Linked DNA regions of Anolis sagrei. The protein of the gene in region 1 interacts with the protein of each later gene in a pairwise test. Links are inferred from orthologs where the notes say so. Each region holds a gene or a part of one and is shown on either strand. Other genes may lie near its edges.

What was found.
Region 2: the proteins of STX16 (region 1) and VAMP5 interact in binary tests that used the Homo sapiens proteins (3 or more experiments, as listed by UniProt). The two-hybrid records come from large-scale screens. The link is inferred for Anolis sagrei from reciprocal best matches to the Homo sapiens genes STX16 and VAMP5.

What each region holds. Positions count from the first base shown.
Region 1 is NC_090024.1:228,572,642-228,582,960, reverse strand, and holds the start of STX16 (syntaxin-16), read right to left. Parts: upstream 4,944-10,319; 5' UTR 4,268-4,943; coding exon 4,136-4,267; intron 1-4,135. UniProt on the Homo sapiens protein: SNARE involved in vesicular transport from the late endosomes to the trans-Golgi network.
Region 2 is NC_090027.1:22,923,058-22,934,311, reverse strand, and holds the start of VAMP5 (vesicle-associated membrane protein 5), read right to left. Parts: upstream 4,955-11,254; 5' UTR 4,756-4,954; coding exon 4,753-4,755; intron 1-4,752. UniProt on the Homo sapiens protein: May participate in trafficking events that are associated with myogenesis, such as myoblast fusion and/or GLUT4 trafficking.

The DNA.
Region 1 (10,319 bases):
TGCCAGATGTGACCTTTGCCACTGTAAAAACGTTATTTAAATGGTATAAATGTAAGTTCACAAGTTGCTAGTTACAAAGCAAACTGTTTACACAGTTGAATCCTAAGTATAAAAAATGCCTATTCATGCAGAAAGTGGTGTTCATGCAAACAAGTGGAAAAGACGTGAAGAGAGAGCTACTAGTGGGCTCTTTCTCAGATAGATGAATGATCTGAACTAAAAAAGGAAATGAAAACAGCTGATGTGGTTCTTGTCAGTTACTAGCCAGAAAAATCTGCGTTATTTTTAAAGCAAGGAATTTAGGACATGCCAAACCGGCTGCTTTAGTTATTTGAATATGTCTGAAAAACATCAGGATATTTCATTCATATGAACTGTGTTTGACTTTTTTAACAATAAGAAAACCCTGTCAATACGGACGCATTTACCACCATGCCTCACGCTAAAACAGGGAAGTCTACATAGCTCTGGAAAGCAAGTTGCCAAGAAAAGCCATAGAGAAAGGGTCAGCAACCTACAACCTTACAGCCATGTGGCCTGCAACCTACAAACATCTGCCTATTTGGTGAGAACATGGGAGAGGGCCCTTTCAATGGCTGTTCCTACTCCTAGGCTGTGGGACTCCCTCCCAAGACAGACCAGGATGGCCCCATCCCTGCTGGCCTTCCACAAGTAATTAAGACATTTCTTTGTGGATGAGGTGCAAACTGCTAGGAAGGTTGTGTGTGGGCTTTGATGGAGGGGGGATTGTGGGCTTTGAATAAATTTTAATGGTATTCCTTGTATATTAACTTTCATATCCACCTACAAATAAATAAATAATAAATAAATAAATAAATAAATGTTTCATTTTTTTAAGTATTTGACTTATTTTAAATTTGTATTTGGTGTATTATATTTGTTAGCTGCCAATAATAATAACAACCTTTCCAAAAGTACCCTATGTGTAACCTGACTCAGTAAGAGCAATCTGACTTTTCCTAAAAGTTATATGAATGGCAGATGGGGCAAATAGATATATTTCCTTTTGGCTCTGGCTCTGTCCACTTTTTACTTCAGAACCACACATTACAGGCATATAAGCCTGCTAAGATTACTTTGAAGCAGGCCTGTACAACCTGCGGCCCTCCAGGTGTTTGGGCATCCAACTTCCAGAAGCCCTAACCAGCCTGTTCAATGGTCAGGAATTCTAGGAGCTGAAGTCCAAAAGACCTGGAGGGACAAAGTGGTGCAGGCCTGCTCTGAAGGAATGTAGCCCATTCAGAAAGCTTACTTGTCTCTGAAGCAGGCAGATGTGGCCTTCAAGATGTCTTTTGACTACTCATGTGCTTTCAGGGCAAACCTTGCCCAGTTTTGCACCCCAGCTTTCATTGCGACCCCCAATCTGTTTTCGAAAGCCTCCCGAAATCGGGATGTATTTTTGGATTGGGACACCGAATTTTGGACCAATATTGGGGGGGGGGGGGGGGGCTTCCCATCCACTGGCACCTCTTCCTGAAGTTCTCCTTACTTGGCACCCGCTGTTGCTCCTCTGCAGGCAGGTCCAGAGTGAACCTGCAGGTCCCGCCAGCCGCCTCACATGCCCCACCACACTCGGAGAGTGTGTGGCAGGGCATGCAGACAGCCTACAGGCCCCGCCACATTCTCGGAGAGAGAGTGTGTGGTGGGGCCTGCAAACAGGCCCAGAGTGTGCCTGCAGCCTAGAGCCAGGCCTGCCCAAATGCAGGCAAGGAGGAGATTTTGGCTTGACACAAATGAAACGGTAGGAACAAATTTCGCACACATGGCAACTTTTCATTACAATCCATCATACTTGTCTATGTTGGCTACAAATGATTCCCAATTTAAGCCAAGAACACATCTGAAGGGATACAATCACATGTCTATGTTCTAGAGGACACTGTACTTCACAGTTTTTGTTATTTTGTGCCTTCAAGCTATTTCCAACTTATTGCAATCCTATCATGGGATCCCCCATCATGGGCCTTCAATTTGTTTTACCATAAATTGTAAGCCACCTTGGATCCTGTACTGGGAGAAAGGCAGGATAAACATTAAATAAAGGAGTACAAAATAAGAAAATGAAAAGAAAACCAGTTCACCTCCCTTCCAAATGCAATGCAAAAGGTAGAAAACCTGAGTGAAACTTGCAGCCACCAAAAGACCCATACCTTCCCTCCTGTCAGCTACAAAATAAAGGTGTCCTTAGCTATTTGTAAGGAATATAACACACACTATTGAAGACCTGCACCCATCATGGAGCTGTGACTGGCTACAAGTCCTTGTTAAGAATACACAGGAACAAAAATTATTTGCTTCTAAGCATGTTTGACATTGCTTACCTTTAAAAAGCAAATATGACAATGGGTAGAGAAATTTACACCCTCTGGGCATTTTGAATTATAATAATCACTATCCTTTATCATTTTTTAAAAAATGCTGACAGAAATGCATGTGCCAAAATACTCTCAGCACTCTTTCCCCAGGGGAAAAAATCTACACCAGGCAGGGGCAAACTCTGGGCCTCTGGGTGTTTTGGACTTTAACTCCAACAATTCCTAACAGCCTTCCTAACAGTCCAAAACACCTGGAGGGCCAAAGTTTGCCCATGCCGGATCTATATTGTAGGATGAGTGCAGTATGACACCAGTCGAACTGCCATGGCTCAATGCTATGGAATCATGGGAGTTGTTGTCCTGCAAGGTTTAGTTTTCTCTGCCAAAGGGGTGCCAAACTGCATTAACTCAATAGTACAGAAGCACCTTAAGAGGGTTTCCTTTAAAGCCCATGTAGATTTATTTATTTATTTATTTATTTATTTATCTCGTATACCGCTACTCCCAATTTGGCTCGGAGCAGTTTACAGAAGCAGATTAAAACAATACAATTAGCTTTAAAAATAACAATAACAAAACAATAGGCGGCGAGAACAGGCATAGATCAAGGTTCCATGTTTTTGAAACACCGAAAAAAGGGAAGATGGTTGGGACATTATCAGGGATCAAATATAGTTTGGGGGCATAGGCTGCACTGCCTCTTTCCTTGCTTGTTAGTTAAAGAGGTGTCAAGCTGCATTCATTCTACATAACTTCATAACAGGCAAGTCCCATAACAGAATGAAAAACCCCACCTGGGGGAATGAATCTCTTAATGCAACAAATCCTTATGGAGAAAATAAACATGTTATGGTTTTTATGATTTTTTTGTTGATTTCAATGTATAATGCATATTGTATTTGTATGTTTATGTTTATTGCTGTATTGATTATTGCCAATTTGGAAGCTGCTCTGAGCCCCCTTTGGGCTTGAGATAGAGCAGGGAAAAATACAGTATAAAGAAGGTAAAGGTTTCCCTAACATTAAGTTTGATCATGTCCGACTCTGGGGGGGTGGGCTCATCTTAATTTCTAAGCCAAAGAGCCGGCGTTGCCTGTAGACACCTCCAAGGTCATGTGGCCAGCATGACTGCATAGAGTGCCATTAAAGGTAAAGGTAGTCCCCTGACATTAAGTCCAGTCATGTCTGACTCTGGGGTGTGGTGCTCATCTCCATTTCTAAGCCGAAGAGCCAGCGTTGTCCGTAGACACCTCCAAGGTCATGTGGCCAGCATGACTGCATGGAGCGCCGTTACCTTCCCGCCGGAGTGGTACCTATTGATCTACTCACATTTGCATGTTTTCGAACTGCTAGGTTGGCAGAAGCTAGGGCTGACAGAGGAAGCTCATGCCGCTCCCCGGAATTGAACCTGTGACCTTTCGATCAACAAGCTCAGCAGCTCAGTGCTTTAACCCACTGCGCCACAGGGGGCCATTACCTTCCCGCATAAGCGGTACCTATTGATCTACACACATCTGCATGTTTTCAAACTGCTTGGTTGGCAATAACTGGGCCTAACAGCAGGAGCCCACTCCACTCCCTGGATTTGAACCGCCAACCTTTCGGTCAGCAAGTTCAGCAGCTCAGTGGTTTAACCCACTGCACCACCAGGGCCCCCAAAGTAAAATAAATAAACAGAAGAGGGAGGAAAGTATGAGAGAGGAAACAAAGAGAGATACAGAGCGAGAGAGAGATGCTTGCTATCAGACAATTCTAAAAACAGCGAAATGTGGGATACAGTAGGACGAAGGGGGACTCACCGCAGCAGCCATGCTACGTGAAGTCAGAGGGCTGGAGCTGTAACTACTCACTTGCTCAGCCAGCAGCTGCCGACTTTGGATCGCGTTGTTCCGCAACAACAAGAACGCGTCTGTTAAACGCCGGGTGGCCATGGCGCTAGGCTTCTTAAGGGACTCCCTTAATCACCAAAAACCCAAATATATTAACCTATGCTTCCCACAGGTGGGCCAGATTCCCAAGTTGGCTTCCTCTCAGTGTAAAGTCCTTCAGGTGGAAGGTTGAGAGGATTTGGAAACCATGAAAGGAGCATGAAAAGGATCCCTCCTTTAAGTTGTGGCCTTTTCCTCTATCTTTCTCTCCCCCAGATCCTTAAGTTAGCTTTTCCCCCTTAAAAAAATCAGGACTAAACCACTAAATAAACTATGAATTCCACAAAAAGTGTGCTCTCTCTCTTTCTCTATAGACCCCTAAAGGAGCTTTCCTTCAAGACAAAATCTGGACTTCTTTTAAAGCAGAAGGTTGAGAAGATTTAGGAAGAATTACAGGGGCATCCAAGAGATCCCCTTGAACCAAAACAATCCAGAGGCCATTCCTCTATCCCTCTCCCCACCAATTCCTAAGTTAGGACAAAGTCCTTGATTCATATCTGGATCTTTTGGAAACCATGACCCTTAAAGGCACCCTGAAGGCTCCTCTCCTTGAATAATCCCTTCTGGGACAAGGCAGAGCCCTATTCTCGGCCCCCTCCAGCACCCCTCATCTTTCCTCTCCCCGGCCCCGGATGGATCTGCCTCTGACCCCTTCAGCACAGCTCACTTCCGCATTGTGCCCCGGGAAAAACTTTCCCCCGCGCAGTAAGGAGCCGAGGAAGAATAGTTCCGGGCGGTTCCAGGACCGGATGTAGGGAAACGAGGAAGGAGAGAGAGGCGCAGTTGTTGCTTTGAACTTCAACTCCCAGAAGCCCAACGCAGCCTGTCCCTTGATCAGGCATTCTGGGAGATGAAGTCCAAAGCACACCAAGGACCAAACTTTGGGGATTACACACAGTAAAGTGGATGCAGCCTGGCATCACTCAGTGATGTGGAATCCTGAACTCAAGGCTGTGGAATCCTGAGAGTTGTAGTGGTGTTAAACTGTATTACTTCTACAGTGTAGACCAGGCATGGGCCAACTTGGGCTCTCCAGGTGTTTTGGACTTCAACTCCCACAATTCCTAACAGCCTAACTAATAAATCTTTAGCATGGATTTAGATGAAACTCATAGAGTTTCATCTATGCTGATGATTTTGCCATTACTGCTCAAGCAGGGAGCTTTGAGACGGTAGAACAGAAGCTCTCCGAAGCTCTAGGTGCTCTTACTGCCTATTACAGGGAAAACCAACTGATCCCTAATCCATCTAAAACACAGACATGCGCCTTTCACCTTAAGAATAGACAAGCATCCCGAACTCTGAGGATCACCTGGCAAGGAATCCCACTGGAGCATTGCAGCGCACCCAAATACCTGGGAGTCACTTTGGACCATGCTCTGACCTACAAGAAGCACTGCCTGAACATCAAACAAAAAGTGAACTTCAACTCCCAGAAGCCTAACGCAGCCTGTCCCTTGATCAGGCATTCTGGGAGATGAAGTCCAAAACACTCCAAGGACCAAAGTTTGGGGATTGCACACAGTAAAGTGAATGCAGCCTGGCATCACTCAATGCTGTGGAATCCTGAGAGTTCTGGTGGTGTTAAACTGTATTACTTCTACAGTCTCTACAGGAGAGACTTATTTTGCATAGAATTATGGAAAAAATAGACCCCTGTCTGATCCCACAGCAAGCTGGCTTCAGAAAAGGCAAAAGCTGTACATCGCAAGTGATGAACCTGACTCAGCACATAGAAGATGGCTTTGAAAGGCAGCAGATCACAGGAGCTGTCTTCATAGACCTGTCAGCGGCTTATGATACTGTGAACCACCGCCTCCTCCTGAGAAAAATGTATAATATCACAAAGGACTACCACCTCACCCGCCTCATAGGAAACCTGCTACAAAACAGGAGCTTTTTTGTTGAGTTTCAGGGCCAGAGAAGCAGATGGCGGAAACAGAAGAACGGCCTGCCTCAGGGGAGCGTGCTTGCCCCATCCATGTTCAACATCTACACAAATGACCAGCCACTGCCAGAAGGGACAAAGAGTTTCATCTGTGCTGATGATCGTGCCATTACTGCTCAAGCAGGGAGCTTTGAGATGGTTGAACAGAAGCTCTCCGAAGCTCTAGGTGCTCTAACTGCCTATTACAGGGAAAACCAACTGATCCCTAATCCATCTAAAACACAGACATGCGCCTTTCACCTTAAGAACAGACAAGCATCCCGAGCTCTGAGGATTACCTGGGAAGGGATCCCACTGGAGCATTGCAACACACCCAAATACCTGGGAGTCACTTTGGACCGTGCTCTGACCTACAAGAAGCACTGTCTGAACATCAAGCAAAAAGTGGGTGCTAGAAACAATATCATACGAAAGCTGACTGGCACAACCTGGGGATCACAACCAGATACATTGAAGACATCTGCCCTTGTGCTGTGCTGCTCTGCTGCTGAGTATGCATGCCCAGTGTGGAACACATCTCACCACACTAAAACAGTGGATGTGGCTCTTAATGAGACATACCGCATTATCACGGGGTGTCTGCGCCCTACACCACTGGAGAAATTACACTGCTTAGCCAGTATTGCACCACCTGACATCCGCTGGGAAGTAGCAGCCAATAGTGAAAGGACCAAGGCAGAGACATCTCCAGCTCACCCCCTGTTTGGGTATCAGCCAGCACGTCAACGACTTAAATCTAGAAATAGTTTTCTAAGATCTACAGAGACACTTGCTGGAACACACCAGTAAGCGAGAGTCCAAAAGTGGCAGACTCAAACCCAGAACCTCAACCAATGGCTGATACCAAATGAGAGACTCCCCCCTGGGCACACAGAGGACTGGGCGACTTGGAAGGCGCTGAACAGACTGCGCTCTGGCACCACGAGATGCAGAGCCAACCTTAAGAAATGGGGCTATAAAGTGGAACCCATGACATGCGAGTGTGGAGAGGAGCAAACCACTGATCACCTGCTGCAATGCAACCTGAGCCCTGCCACATGCACAATGGAGGACCTTCTTGCAGCAACACCAGAGGCACTCCAAGTGGCCAGACACTGGTCAAAGGACATTTAACCAACTACCAAACTCACAAGTTTTGTATTTGTCTGTTTGTTTGCTTTGTTCTGTTAGAAATGTAATATAATGGACTGGTTGCTCTGACACAACAAATAAACTTCTACAGTGTAGATCAGGCATGGGCCAACTTGGGCCCTCCAGGTGTTTTGGACTTCAATTCCCACAATTCCTAACAGCCTAACTAATAAATCTTTAGCATGGATTTAGGCCAGGCATGGGCCAACTTGGGCCCTCCAGGTGTTTTGGACTTCAACTCCCACAATTCCTAACAGCCTACTGGAGAGGTTGAGAGGAGACATGATAACCATGTATAAATATGTGAAATGATGTCATAAGGAAGAGGGAGCGGGTTTGTTTTCTCCTGCCCTGGAGACTAGGACTTGGAGCAATAGGCTCAAATTACAGGAAAAGATATCCCACCTGAACATTAGAAAGAACTTCCTGACCGTATGAGCTGTTCAACGGAAGAACTGTTGCCGAGCATAGACCCCTCCCCCTCCCTGGGGGTCAAAATACTAAATTGATAAAGTTGGCACTGCAGCAAAGAGTTCCACAGCGGGGATCAAGGAATTAGCTTGGGGATGTAGGAAGAAGCCCAGCAGCAGCTACTGGCGCCCAGGAGACCTTTTTTGAAACTTTTTGCCTCAATGTTCCCCTTACTACTAGTTATATGGTTTCTAATCCTTAAATAAACCTGGTTATCCTTAATTTTTGCCTCTCCGTCTCTATTTTTGCTCTCTGAGTCCTTTTCTTACTCGCTTCTGCAGTCTGCAGTCGGCCAAGTGTTTGCTTGGGCCACATGACCCACAGCCCTCCACGGCCCTAGCAGCAGAACTCTCCTTCCCATTTCCCCTTGCATTTACTTAAACTTTGCCCAAGTAACCCCGTGTCAATGCTAACCTTCCCCATGGATACTGAGACCTACCCAGTCGCTTGGTTTCCCCAGATATACACAGATCTCTTGTATACATCTTCCCTTCCCCATGAATATTTATCTAACTATCCATTCACAGGGTTCCCTCGATATCCATGGAACTTTTTTGTGCGCCATTACTATATTATATTTTATGTCTCAACATAAAATCCTTCTTGGAGAAGCATACCACCAACCAAGTCTTTGTGACGATCTTTTGCCCACATTTCCTGACCCGAGAAGTCCATCCAGCATCCAGCTGTTTTCCTGAGCATCATCTACATAAGAACAACTCAATCACCCATCACCTTCAGGACAGTCCATCTATACTGGCCTCATAGACCCTCGACTGAGCAGATGATGATAGGATCCATGTGCTGGGCTGCCCATCCTTTGTCCCAGTCACTTGGACATAGCAATACTATTCTTCACCTGGCATGATCATCCAGTATGCCAGCGGAGCATGCCCCATCTCCAACAATGACATTTCCCCTTTCTGAGGAACAAACCACTTAATCCTATCAGCATGAACAATATTTCTGCTTTTGGCTCTGTGGATAACAGTGCCAGAGACGCTGGATCCATTCGCTGGGGACTCAGATGGCAATCATCTTAACAATAAACACTCATGAGACCAAATGCGCCCCCCTTTGTTTATCTCTTGGCAGGGACCCGATAATCCATTCAGAACACATTTCAGCACCTTTGTCTTCTGGACTAACCAACCCCTCATTAGGAGAGCGACTATCTGCATTGAGAGTGGGGAATGCTCTCCTATTGACCAGCGAGTGCCACAGTCCTGTCTCTGCAAGGAATCTTCCCACAGCTATTCCAACGTCATTGGCGAAGCCAGGTCCAGCTGGGCGGGAGACGGATTTTCAGAGGGTTAAAGTGTATAAAAATGTATGATTTGCAATGTTTGGTATCTCAGTTTACTTTGGCGGATTATCGCAGGCTGGCATCACTTCAGCTGATTTCAGTAAACATGTCAGTGGCTACTTCTTCAACTTGGTGAGATTTATTTAAGAATATTGGACTTCTTTGTCTCTCCAGGTGCATGGGCCTACAGGACGGCCTGTTGCCATTACCTGTAACCAAGTATTGGAACTTGGTACCTGCACTTCAGGTTTAATTATCCGCGGCTCGGATCTCACTATCTGTGGCCATTTAAAATTGCTGTATTTCAGAACTCTGCCTCAGAGTGAGGTGGAAGCTCTTTCCTTGGAAACTTTTAAACAGAGGCCGGATAGCCATCTGTCAGGGATACTTCATGCTTTTTCTACATGGCAGGGGGTTGGATTCTATGGCCCATGTAGTTTCTTCCAATTGTATGATTTTATGATTCTACAGCATAATATTCTATTCTAAAAAGATTAATGGAAGTGGACAATTCCCAGGGGTCAGATAGACTTCAAAAAATATGCCAAAACAAACAGACAGATATATATGTCTTCATGTTACCTGTGTTTTGTGCTTTAGCACCTTGTTAACTTGGATGCTACAGGAACAATTCTTAGAATGTCCAGCCAAATCTTGAGTAAAAATGTGACAATGCACAGCATGACTATTGGAAGCGAGTGAGCGAGTAAGTTGTCTCTTTTTTGCTGCTTTTGGCTTAAAGTCAGTCCTGAGTCATAAGTAGCAATATGTGGGAAATCAAATGGATCCAGGAACATAAAGCCAGATGCCAGAACAGACAAGGAATGAATAGTTGTGCACAGAGCCAATGGTAGGACTGTACATTTGCTTTGGTCAAGGCCCAAATTCAGAAATGTAACATGTCACTTCAGAAAAGTCCAGGCTTTGTTTGGGACTGTGACTCCATCTACACTGCCATATAATGCAAGTTTAAACAACTGATGCTTCCCATCCTTAAAAAAAAAGTGAACAAAACTTCTTTTGGCTGTTAATGCATGGCTTCCTCTTCATACATGTTTTTTGCAGCATTGAAATGACTGTAGAGGGTGCTACTGGGTAATGCAAACAAATGAAACTCTTGATATTCCAATTCCTTTATTTTGCTGAAGCATCATTTATATTGTATAATTCACAAGTGGGAACAATCTATAAGCAAGAGA
Region 2 (11,254 bases), on another chromosome or scaffold:
ATGCAATATTCCTGCTTCTTGGCAGGGGGTTGGACTGGATGGCCCATGAGGTCTCTTCCAACTCTTTGATTCTATGATTCTACGATCATCAATACCACCATAATCAGGCACAGCTTCATCCTGGCAAATACACATTCTCAGCTCTCAAAATATTGTCATTTGGCAAATGAGATTGAAAAGTCAGCGCAAGTCCTATTACAGAAATATTTGTTTTTCATTTGCTGAAGCGGGAAAAGTGAAGGTGCAAAGAATTTTTGCATTCCAGGATAACCTTTTCCATATGTGCTTTCTTCAGAGAGTCTTTGTGTATGTGTATGTATGCACATACACATACACAGATCTCAGGTGGGTGGAGTCCCTTTGGCAAAGGAGTCGAGAAAGAGGCCCCTCTCACTGGGACTTGGGCACTTCTTCTGCAGAGGAAGACCACATCCTTCCTCCCAAACAGCTGCTAATTGAGTCTGAAAAGTTCATTAAATGCACCAGGTATTTGCTTGATACTTTGCAGAGCATTTTCCCTAGAGCAGCGTTACTCAACCTTCCCTTTAATACACTTCTTCATGTTGTGGGACTCCAACCAGAAAATTATTTTCATTGCTACTTCATAACTGTCATTTTGCTACTGTTATGAACATAATGTAAATGTCTGACATGCAGGATGTATTTTCACTCACTGGACCAAATTTGGCACAAATACCCAATACACCCAAATTAGAATATTGGTGTAGTTGTGGGGGTATTGGTTTTGTCATTTGGGAGTTGTAATTGCTGTGATTGATAGTTCACCTACAATTAAAGAGCATTCTGAACTCCACAAATGATGGAATTGGACCAAATTTGGCACACAGAACTCCCATGACCAACAGAAAATACTGGAAGGGTTTGGTGGGCATTGACCTTGAGTTTTGGAGTTGTAGTTCACCTACATCCAGAGAGCACTGTGGATTCAAACAATGATAGATCTGGACCAAACTTAGCAAAAATACTTAGTATGACAAAATGTGAATACTGATGGAGTTTGGGGGAAATAGACCTTGACATTTGGGAGTTGTAGCTGCTGGCATTTATAGTTCACTTACAATCAAAGAGCATTCTGAAATACACCAACAACGGAATTGAACCAAATTTGGCACACAGAACTCCCATGGACAACAGAAAATCATGGAAGGGTTTGGTGGACACTGACCTTGAGTTTGGGAGTTGTCACCCACATCCAGAGATCTCTGTAGACTCAAAACAATGATGGATCTGGACCAAACTTGGCAGAGATACACAATATGCCCAAATGTGAACACTGGTGTAGTTTGGGGAAAACAGACATTGACATTTGGGCATTATAGTTGCTGGGATTTATAGTTCACCCACAATCAAAGAGCATTCTGTAACACACCAGTGACAGAATTGGGTGAAACTTCCAACACAGAACACCTATGCCCTGAAAGGACTTGCTGGCACGAGCCTCCTCCAGCCTCACACTCTCCCTTGCCTGCACGAGCGCATCATGCTGCCATGCACCGAGCACGTCTGCTCTCCCCTCCCTGCCTGGAGTCTCAGAAACAGCCCTCTGCTTGGCTGAGTGGCCGACCAATCTTAGTTACTTACTTACTTAGGCGATCCCTCATTGTCTGAGTAGGATAGTCTTTCAAGATTGGTGTACTGGCGATGGTTCCGTAGGTGAATGTGGAGCCCTATTCTTGATCTGCATCTTCTCCCGCAGTGAGGGCATTGGTTTTCAGGTGGAAGGTGGTCCTGCTCGGGGTTGGCTTGGCACATCTTCCTCTTGGCACAGTTCTCTCTTTTGCCCTCCATTCGTGCCTCTTCAAATTCTATAGCACTGCTGGTCACAGCTGACTTCCAGCTGGAGCGCTCAAGGGCCAGGGCTTCCCGGTTCTCAGTGTCTATGCCAGAGTTTTAAAGGTTGGCTTTGAGCCCATCTATAAATTTCTTTTCCCGTCCTCCAACATTCCATTTTCCATTCTTGAGTTTGGAGTAGAGCAACTGCTTTGGGAGACGGTGGTCGGGCATCCGGACAACGTGGCCGGTCCAGCGGAGTTGATGGCAGAGGACCATCGCTTCAATGCTGGTGGTCTTTGCTTCTTCCAGGATGCTAGCATTTGTCTGCTTGTCTTTCCAAGAGATCTGCAGGATTTTCTGGAGGCAGTGCTGATGGAATCGTTCTAGGAGTTGCGTGTGATGTCTGTGGACAGTCCACATCTCGCAGGTGTATAGCAGGGTTGGGAAGACAATAGCTTTATGAACAAAGCTGTTGGGATCCAATTTTCCTATGAGTAATAACCCAAAGTCTGCAGAATAATGGGAGTTGCAGTCTTACAGGATTTTTCATCTTCTCTGCAAAGGACAACTCCCAGGATCCCATCGCACTGAGCCAGAGGAGCTGCAAGTGGGGCCAAACCGCATTCATTCCTCATGTTGTACTTTGTTCTTTCTGGATGGCACATTGGAATTATTGAGATAACAAAACGGTTGGATTGATCTGATGCAAGTTCCTATTTGAAACATGCCTGGCAATAACCCTGATCTAGTTACTAGAAAAGGAAAGTGAAAATCCCTTGGGCTGGAGAAGGCCCCTGCCTTGCCCAACCATATTTCTAGTCTTCCAGGCTGAGGAAGATGGGAGTCCGAGAATCCGAGAGTCGGAAGGGGTCCCCAAAGGTCATCCACTCTAACCCACTTCTGCCAGACAGGAAAGCATAATCAAAACCTTCCCAACAGATGCCCATAATAGTAATAGTAGTAAAAATAGAACTATAGAATCCTAGAGTTGGAAGGGACCTCAGGGGACATCTAGTCCAACTCCAATCTACAATGGAATAAAAGCACAATCAAAACCTTCCTGACAGATGGCCATCCAGCCTCTGTATAAATAATAAGAGTAATAATAATAGTACTATAGAATCAAAGAGTTGGAAGGGACACCCAGGGGACATCTAGTCCAACCCGAATCTACAATGGAATAAAAGCACAATCAAAACTTTCCTGACAGATGGCCATCCAACCTCTGAAGAAATAATAATAGTAATAATAATAGAACTATCGAATCTTAGAATTGGAAGGGACACGCAGGGAACATCTACTCCAACACCCAATCTACAATGGAACCACAATCAAAACCCTCCTGAGAGATGGCCATTCAGCCTCTGCATTAACAACAGTAATAATAATAATAATAATAATAATAATAATAATAATAATAATAATAGAACTACAGAATCTTAGAGTTGGAAGGGACCCCAGGAGATATCTAGTTTAATCCCAATCTACAAGGAAGTAAAATCCTCCCAATAGATGGCCATCCAGTCTAAATAATAATAATAATAATAATAATAATAATAATAGAATGCTAGTTTTGGGAGGGACCTGAAGGGCCACCCATCCCATCCTTCTTTCTGCCATTATGCAGGAAAAGGATGATTAAAACCCTCCCAACTGATGGCCATTCAGCCTCTGCATACTGATGATGATTATAATAAGGTTGTGTAAATAATAATAATAATAATAATAATAATAATAATAATAATAGAACTGTACAATCCTACAGTTGGAAAAGTCACCCCCTCAAGAGCCTTCCAGCAGAACCCCCTTCTGCCATTCATAATAATAATAATAATAATAATAAGCCATTATGCAGGAAAAACACAATCAAAGCTCTCCTGGCACCAGCCTGTGTCTGAAATCTATATCATAGAATGCTAGAGTTGGAAGGGACCCCAGGGGCATCCAGACCAACCCCTTTTTTTCTGCCATTATGCAGGAAAGGCACCATCAAAACCCTTCTGACAGATGGCCATCCAGTCTCCGCATAATAATAATAATAGTAGTAATAATAATAATATCCTAGAGTTGTAAAGGACCCCAAAGGCCACACATCCTAAGATGCTTCTTTCTGCCATTATGCAGGAAAAGAACCATCAAAACCCTCCGGACATGTCCATCCAGCCTGCATAATAATAATAATAATAATAATAATAATAATAATAATAATAATACCAATAATAATAATAGAAGACTAGAGTTGGAAGGGACTCCCAAAGGTCATACACCCAACACCCTTCTTTGTGCCATTATGTAGGAAAAGCACCAACAAAACCTTACTGACAGATGGCCATCCATCCTCTGCATAATACTACTACTACTGCTAATAATAATAATAGAATACTAGAATTGGAAGGGACCCCAAGGTCCACCCATCCCAACCCCATTCTTTCTGCCATTATGCAGGAAAAGCATAATCAAAACCCTCCTGACAGATGGCCATTCAGCCTCTGCATCATCATCATCATCATCATAGAAGGCTAGAGTTGGAAGAGACTCCCAAAGGTCATCCACCCAACACCCTTCTTTGTGCCATTATGCAAGAAAAGCACCAACAAAACCCTACGGACAGATGGCCATTTATCCTCTGCATACTACTACTACTACTACTACTACTACTAATAATAATAATAATAATAATAGAATACTAGAGGTGGAAGGGACCCCAAGGGCCACCCAGCCTGACTTTCTTCTTTCTGTCATGAAACACCATCAAAACCCTCCTGACAGATGGCCATTCATCCTCTGCATACTACTACTACTACTACTACTACTACTAATAATAATAATAATAGAATACTAGAGGTGGAAGGGACCCCAAGGGCCACCCAGCCTGACTCTCTTCTTTCTGTCATGAAACACCATCAAAACCCTCCCGACAGATGGCCATCCAGCCTCTGCAATCATAGCAACACTCACCATGGCTGCTCCGGAGGCGAAGAGACTGAAGGTCCTCCGTCCTCCTTCCTCCTCCTCCTCCTCCTCCTCAGTCTCCTCCTGAGTCCGCCCCCTTCGCCCTCCTTCGTTGCTTGGACCCTCCCCTTGCTTCCCTCGGGAAGGAGGGCTTTCTCCCGAGAGGCTGGATGGCCGTCTGTAGGGAGGGCTCGGACTGTGTCTTCCTCTATGGCAGGAAGGGGCCCGACTGGATGGCCTTGGGGGTTCCCTTCCCACTCTAGGTTGTAATGATTCCACGATGAAGTAACAGAATTGTTGGGAAAGGGGTCTGTTCCTGGTTTGAAGGTGTTATTTCCTGTTTCATGGTACAGTCCTTAATTTTGAAACTTTGTTTTAGTTGCACAGACTATGTTGCATTGGTTGAAACTAGAGGAAATATTCACTGGAAAACTAGAGTAAAACCAGATCATCCAGATTATTTGCTTTGAACTGGATTATATGAGTCTACATTGCCATAAAATCTATATCATCAAAGCAGTTAATCCAGATTATCTGCTTTGAACTGGATTATATGAGTCTACACTGCCGTAAAATCCAGATTAGCAAAGCAGTCAATCCAGATCATCTGCTTTGAACTGGATTATACGAGTCTACACTGCCATGAAATCCAGATTATCAAAGCAGTTAATCCATATTATCTGCATTGAACTGGATTATATGAGTCTACGCGGCCATAAAATACATATTATCAAAACAGTTAATCCAGATTATCTGCATTGAACTGGATTATATGAGTCTACACTGCCATAAAATTAAGATTATCAAAGCAGTTAATCCAGATTATCTGCATTGAACTTGATTATATGAGTCTACAGTGCCATATAATCCAGATTATCAAAGCAGTTAATCCAGATTATCTGCATTGAACTTGATTATATGAGTCTACAGTGCCATATAATCCAGATTATCAAAGCAGTTAATCCAGATTATGTGCATTGAACTTGATTATATGAGTCTACAGTGCCATATAATCCAGATTATCAAAGCAATTAATCCAGATTATCTGCATTGAACTAGATTATATGAGTCTACATTGCCATAAAATCCATATCATCAAACCACTTCATCCAGATTATCTGAATTGAACTTAATTATATGAGTCTACGCTGCCATATAATCCAGATTATCAAAGCAGTTAATCCAGAAAATCTGCATTGAACTGGATTATATGAGTCTACGCTGCAATATAATCCAGATTATCAAAGAAATTAATCCAGATTTTTTTTGTCATGTCAGGAGTGACTTGAGAAACTGCAAGTCGCTTTTGGTGTGAGAGAATTGGCCATCTGCAAGGATGTTGCCCAGGGGATGTTTTGATGTTTTATCATCCTTGTGGGAGGCTTCTCTCATGTCCCCGCATGAGGAGGTGGAGCTGACAGAGGGAGCTCATCAGCGCTCTCCCCGGATTTGAACCTGCGACCTGTCAGTCTTCAGTCCTGCCAGCACAGGGGTTTAATCCACTACACCACCGGGGGCTCCAGTTAATCCAGATTAATTGCATTGAACTGGATTATATGAGTCTACACTGTCATAAAAATCCAGATTATCAAAGCAGTTAATCCGGATTATCTGCATTGAACTGGATTATATGAGTCTACACTGCCATATAATCCAGATTATCAAAGCAGTTAATCCAGATTAACTGCATTGAACTGGATTATATGAGTCTACACTGCCATATAATCCAATTCAAAGCAGACAATCTGGATTTAATATGGCAGTGAAGAAGGGGCCTAAGAAAGGTTAGATATATGTAAACATAGCTGTGCTAGAAATAGCAGAATGGAAAAGTCACTTGTCAAAAGAGGCTATTGTTTCCTTTGCAGGGCATCCTGTTCCTCTTTCCTTTTGGCTCCCTTGCGCTTCCTCTTCCTCTTTTCCTTCCTGTTTGGGGGCCCCTTGTTTCCTTTCTTGATGCCTCCCTGCTTCCGCGACCCCTTAATACAGTGCCTCACGTTGTGGTGACCCCCAACCATAAAATTATTATTATTGTTACTTCCTAATTGTAATTGTGTCGCTGTTATGAATCATAATTTAAATATCTGAAATGCAGGATGTATTTTCATTCACTGGACCAAATTTGGCACAAATACCCAACCACAGCGCTCCATGCCGTCATGTCAGCCACATGACCTTGGAGGTGTCTATGGACAACACCGGCTCTTTGGCCTAGAAATTGACCACCAACTGCCAGAGTTGAACACGACTGGACTTAATGTCAGGGGAAAACTTTTACCTTATCTTACCCAATATGCCCAAATTTGAATACTGTTGGGGTTGGAGGGAGAATTCATTATGTCATTTGGGAGTTGTGGTTGCTGGGATTTATAGTTCACCTACAATCAAAGAGCATTTTGAACTCCACCAATGAAGGAATGGGACCAAACTTGGCACACAGAACTCCCACGACCAACGAAAAATACTGGAAGGGTTTGTTGAGCATTGACCTTGAGTTTTGGAGTTGTAGTTCATCTGCATTCAGAGAGTATTGCAGATGGATCTGGACCAGGGGCTGCTCAACCCATTACGCAAAGTAAGCATTTACAGTATAGTTGATTTTGCCCAGGGGCGCTGTTGAGGCGCTCTTGGGGGAAAACAGACCTTGACATATGCGAGTTGTAGTTACTGGGATGTATAGTTCACCTACAATCAAAGAGCATTCTGAACTCCACCAATGATGGAATTGAACCAAATATGGCATGCAGAACTCCCACAACGAACAGAAAATATATATCAGTGATTGGTTGGGGGGGGGGGGGGCAAAATACTGTTTGCTTTTAAAAAAATATTTAAAAACTCTATTTAAAAACTCTAAAATTACAACAGCAAAACAGCAGAGAGGAAACAACCAGGTACATCTTAACACCTCTCAACAAAAGATTTTCCCAGGCTCAGCCAAGCCTTCAAATGCTAATGAAGGTGGTCAGTTGAAACATTCACACCTAGCTCCAGCAGAGAAAAGCTCTTTGCCCCACCCCAGCCATTCCACAGATATATAAACCCATTGTCCTAATTCCAACAGACCTCACTACCTCTGAGGATGCTTGCCATAGATGCAGGCGAAACGTCAGGAGAAATGCCTCTAGAACATGGTCCTATAGCCCGAAAAAACCCACAAGGACCTGTTTGCTTACCGTTGGGAATTACCTAGGGCCGCCTCTGATCTGGACCAAACTTGGCACAAATACTCAATATGCCCCAATTTGAACACTGGTGGACTTTGGGGGAAATAGACCTTGACATTTGGGAGTTGCAGTTGCTGGGATTTATAGTTCATCTGCAAACAAAGCACATTCTGAACTCCACCAATGATGGAATTGGTCCAAACTTGGCACACAAAACCCCCATGACCAACAGAAAATACTAGAAGGGTTTGGTGGGCATTGACCTTGAGTTTTGGAGTTGTAGTTCACCTACCTCCATAAAGCACTATGGACTCAAACAACGATGGATATGGACCTAACTTGGTACGGATACTCAATATGCCCAAATGTGAATACTGGTGGAGTTTGAGGTGAATAGATCTTGGCATTTGGGAGCTACTGTGATGTATAGCTCCCCTGCCATCAAAGAGCTCGGAAGGGTGTGCGGGGGGCCGGGCAGAAAGGCTGCCCAAATGGCAAGGCCGTGTGGGTAGTCCTACGCCTGGCCCCCGCGCCCTTCCGAACTCGGAACGGCACGGGTGCTGGGCAGCTCTCCCTTGCCCAAATGGCAAGGGTCAGTAGCTATTTTAGCAGGGCTGGGGCCAACCAAGGCAGCTTCGCGACCCCCCAAAATGGTCTAATGACCCCCCTAGGGGTCGCAACCCCCAGGTTGAGAACCACTGGTTTAAAAGCTATGTGACGTGAAGGACCAATTTTTCTCATTGTCTTTTTATGGACTTTGCTGCTCCCAGTGAATTTAGGGCCCTCCCAGCTCAAAAAAGGAGTCGGTTGTGATTTTCCACAGCAGAAAGAAACAGGTTTGAGTTTGCAAAACAGCTCTGAGTGCATTCTATTCAACAGAAAACACAATTTTATGGCCTTTTTAAATTGCTGTTCTCACCGAGTTCAAGGTTACCAGTTGTGCGCTCAGTGAGCCTCGTTTAGATCTCACTCAAGAGCAGGAAACAACAACAACAACAACAACATTTATCACATCAGAAGCAAACCGAGGGTACAGTTGTAATATATTTAAAAACACAAAGATAAAAAACTTGGCATTGTACTAAATGTCCTTTGACCATAATAATAGTAATAATAATAATAATAATAATAATAATAATAATAATACTTTATAATATTCCCAATGGCCAAGCGATCAAGTGTCACCAGCCAGAGGCCTATAAATATCTGGGCATACTACGGCTGGACAACATCAAACATGAACATGGTCAGCAAAGAATACATTCAAAGGGTCAGAAAAATTCTCAAAAGCAAGCTCAGTGGAGGCAATACCATCAAGGCCATAAATACCTGGGCCATACCTGTCATAAGATATACTGTTGACATCATAAACTGGACACAGGCAGAACTGGACAATTTGGACAGAAAAACAAGAAAACTCATGACCATTCATAATTCACTACATCCTCGCAGTGATGTTGACCAGCTCTATCTGCCTAGAAAGTCTGGTGGCAGAGGACTTTTACAAGTAAAAGGCTTATCTGGCCAGGGTGGTCCATGCCTTGGTCACCTCAAGATTGGACTACTGTAATGCGCTCTACGTGGGGCTGCCCTTGAAAACGGCCCGGAAATTCCAACTAGTCCAACGGGTGGCAGCCAGGTTGTTAACTGGTGTTCCTTACAGAGAGAGGTCAACCCTCCTGTTTAAGGAGCTCCATTGGCTGCCATTCATCTTCCGGTCCCAATTCAAGGTGCAGGTACTTACCTACAAAGCCCTAAACGGTTTGGAACCCGCCTACCTGCGTGATCGCATCTCCATATACGAACCCACACGATCTCTCCGATCATCTGGAGAGGCCCTGCTCGCGATCCCACCTGCGTCGCAAGCGCGTTTGGTGGGGATGAGGGACAGGGCCTTCTCTGTGGTGGCCCCCCCCTCCCCAAGGATATTAGACAAGCCCTAATGTTGGCAGTCTTTAGGAAGAGCTTGAAGACGTGGCTGTTCCAGTGTGCCTTCCCTGAATAGGAAACTCCTAGCATCATGTCCCAAATGCACTTTACTAGAGATTTAAGATTGTCCGCACACCGCACCTATGACCGCACTTCACCTGTCATGTCCAGCATTTTTTAAATTTTTATCCATTACATTTGGCCCAGCCTCAGTTTTTAAATGCATTGTGGTGTTATTGTCTAATGGTTATTGCTGTTGTTTTAATGTTATTGTTTTTTTTATGAGCTTATTTATTGTTGTATTTGTTATACTGTTGTTTTATTGATGTGTTGGCCTTGGCCTCTTGTAAGCAGCACCGAGTCCTCCGGGAGATGTTAGCGGGGTATAAATAAAGATAATAATAATAATAATAATAATAATAATAATAATAATACAAGCAGTCAAAGAAGAAAAAACACGCCCTGGCAGAATATGTCAAGGAAAGCCAAGAACCTGCTTTAATTGAAGTCAATAATCAGAAACTTCTCAAAGCACAGCAGACAAAGAGTCAGTGCAAGAAAACTGCACAACAAACCAGAGCTGACTGCTGGCACAACAAAGCCTTACATGGGCAGTTCCTTGAGAAGAATGAAGGAAAAGTTGACAAGGAGAAGACCTGGTTATGGCTCCTGAATGGAACCCTGAAGAAGGAGACAGAACGCCTGATTCTTGCAGCCCTGGAAAAAAGCTATCAGAACCAATGCATTTAAGGCCAGGATTGAAAAATCAGCGGATGACCCAAAATGCAGGCTGTGCAAGGAAGCTGATGAAACTATGGATCATCTCTTCAGCTGTTGCAAGAAAATTGCACAGATGGACTACAAACAAAGACACAATTCTGTGGCCCAGATGATTCACTGGAACTTATGTCACAAGTACCACCTGCCAGCAGTAAAGAATTGGTAAAGGGATGATAAAACCCACAAAGGTCATGGAAAATGAACATGCAAAAATACTGTGGGACTTTCGAGTCCAGACTGGCAAAGTTTTGGAACACAATATGCCAGACATCACGATTGTGGAAAAGAAATAAGTCTGGATTATTGATGTTGCCATACCGGGTGACAGTCGCATTGAGGAAAAACAACAGGAAAAACTCAGCCGCTCTCAAGACCTCAAAATCGAACTGCAAAGGCTCTGGCATAAACCAGTACAGGTGGTCCCAGTGGTCATCGGCACACTGGGTGCCATGCTAAAAGATCTCAGCCGGCATTTGGAAACAATAAACATCGACAAAATCACGACCTGTCAACTGCAAAAGGCCACCTGACTTGGATCTGCGCACATCATTCGAAAATACATCACACTGTCCTAGACGCTTGGGAAGTGTTCGACTTGTGATTTTGTGACATGAAATCCAGCATATAGATCT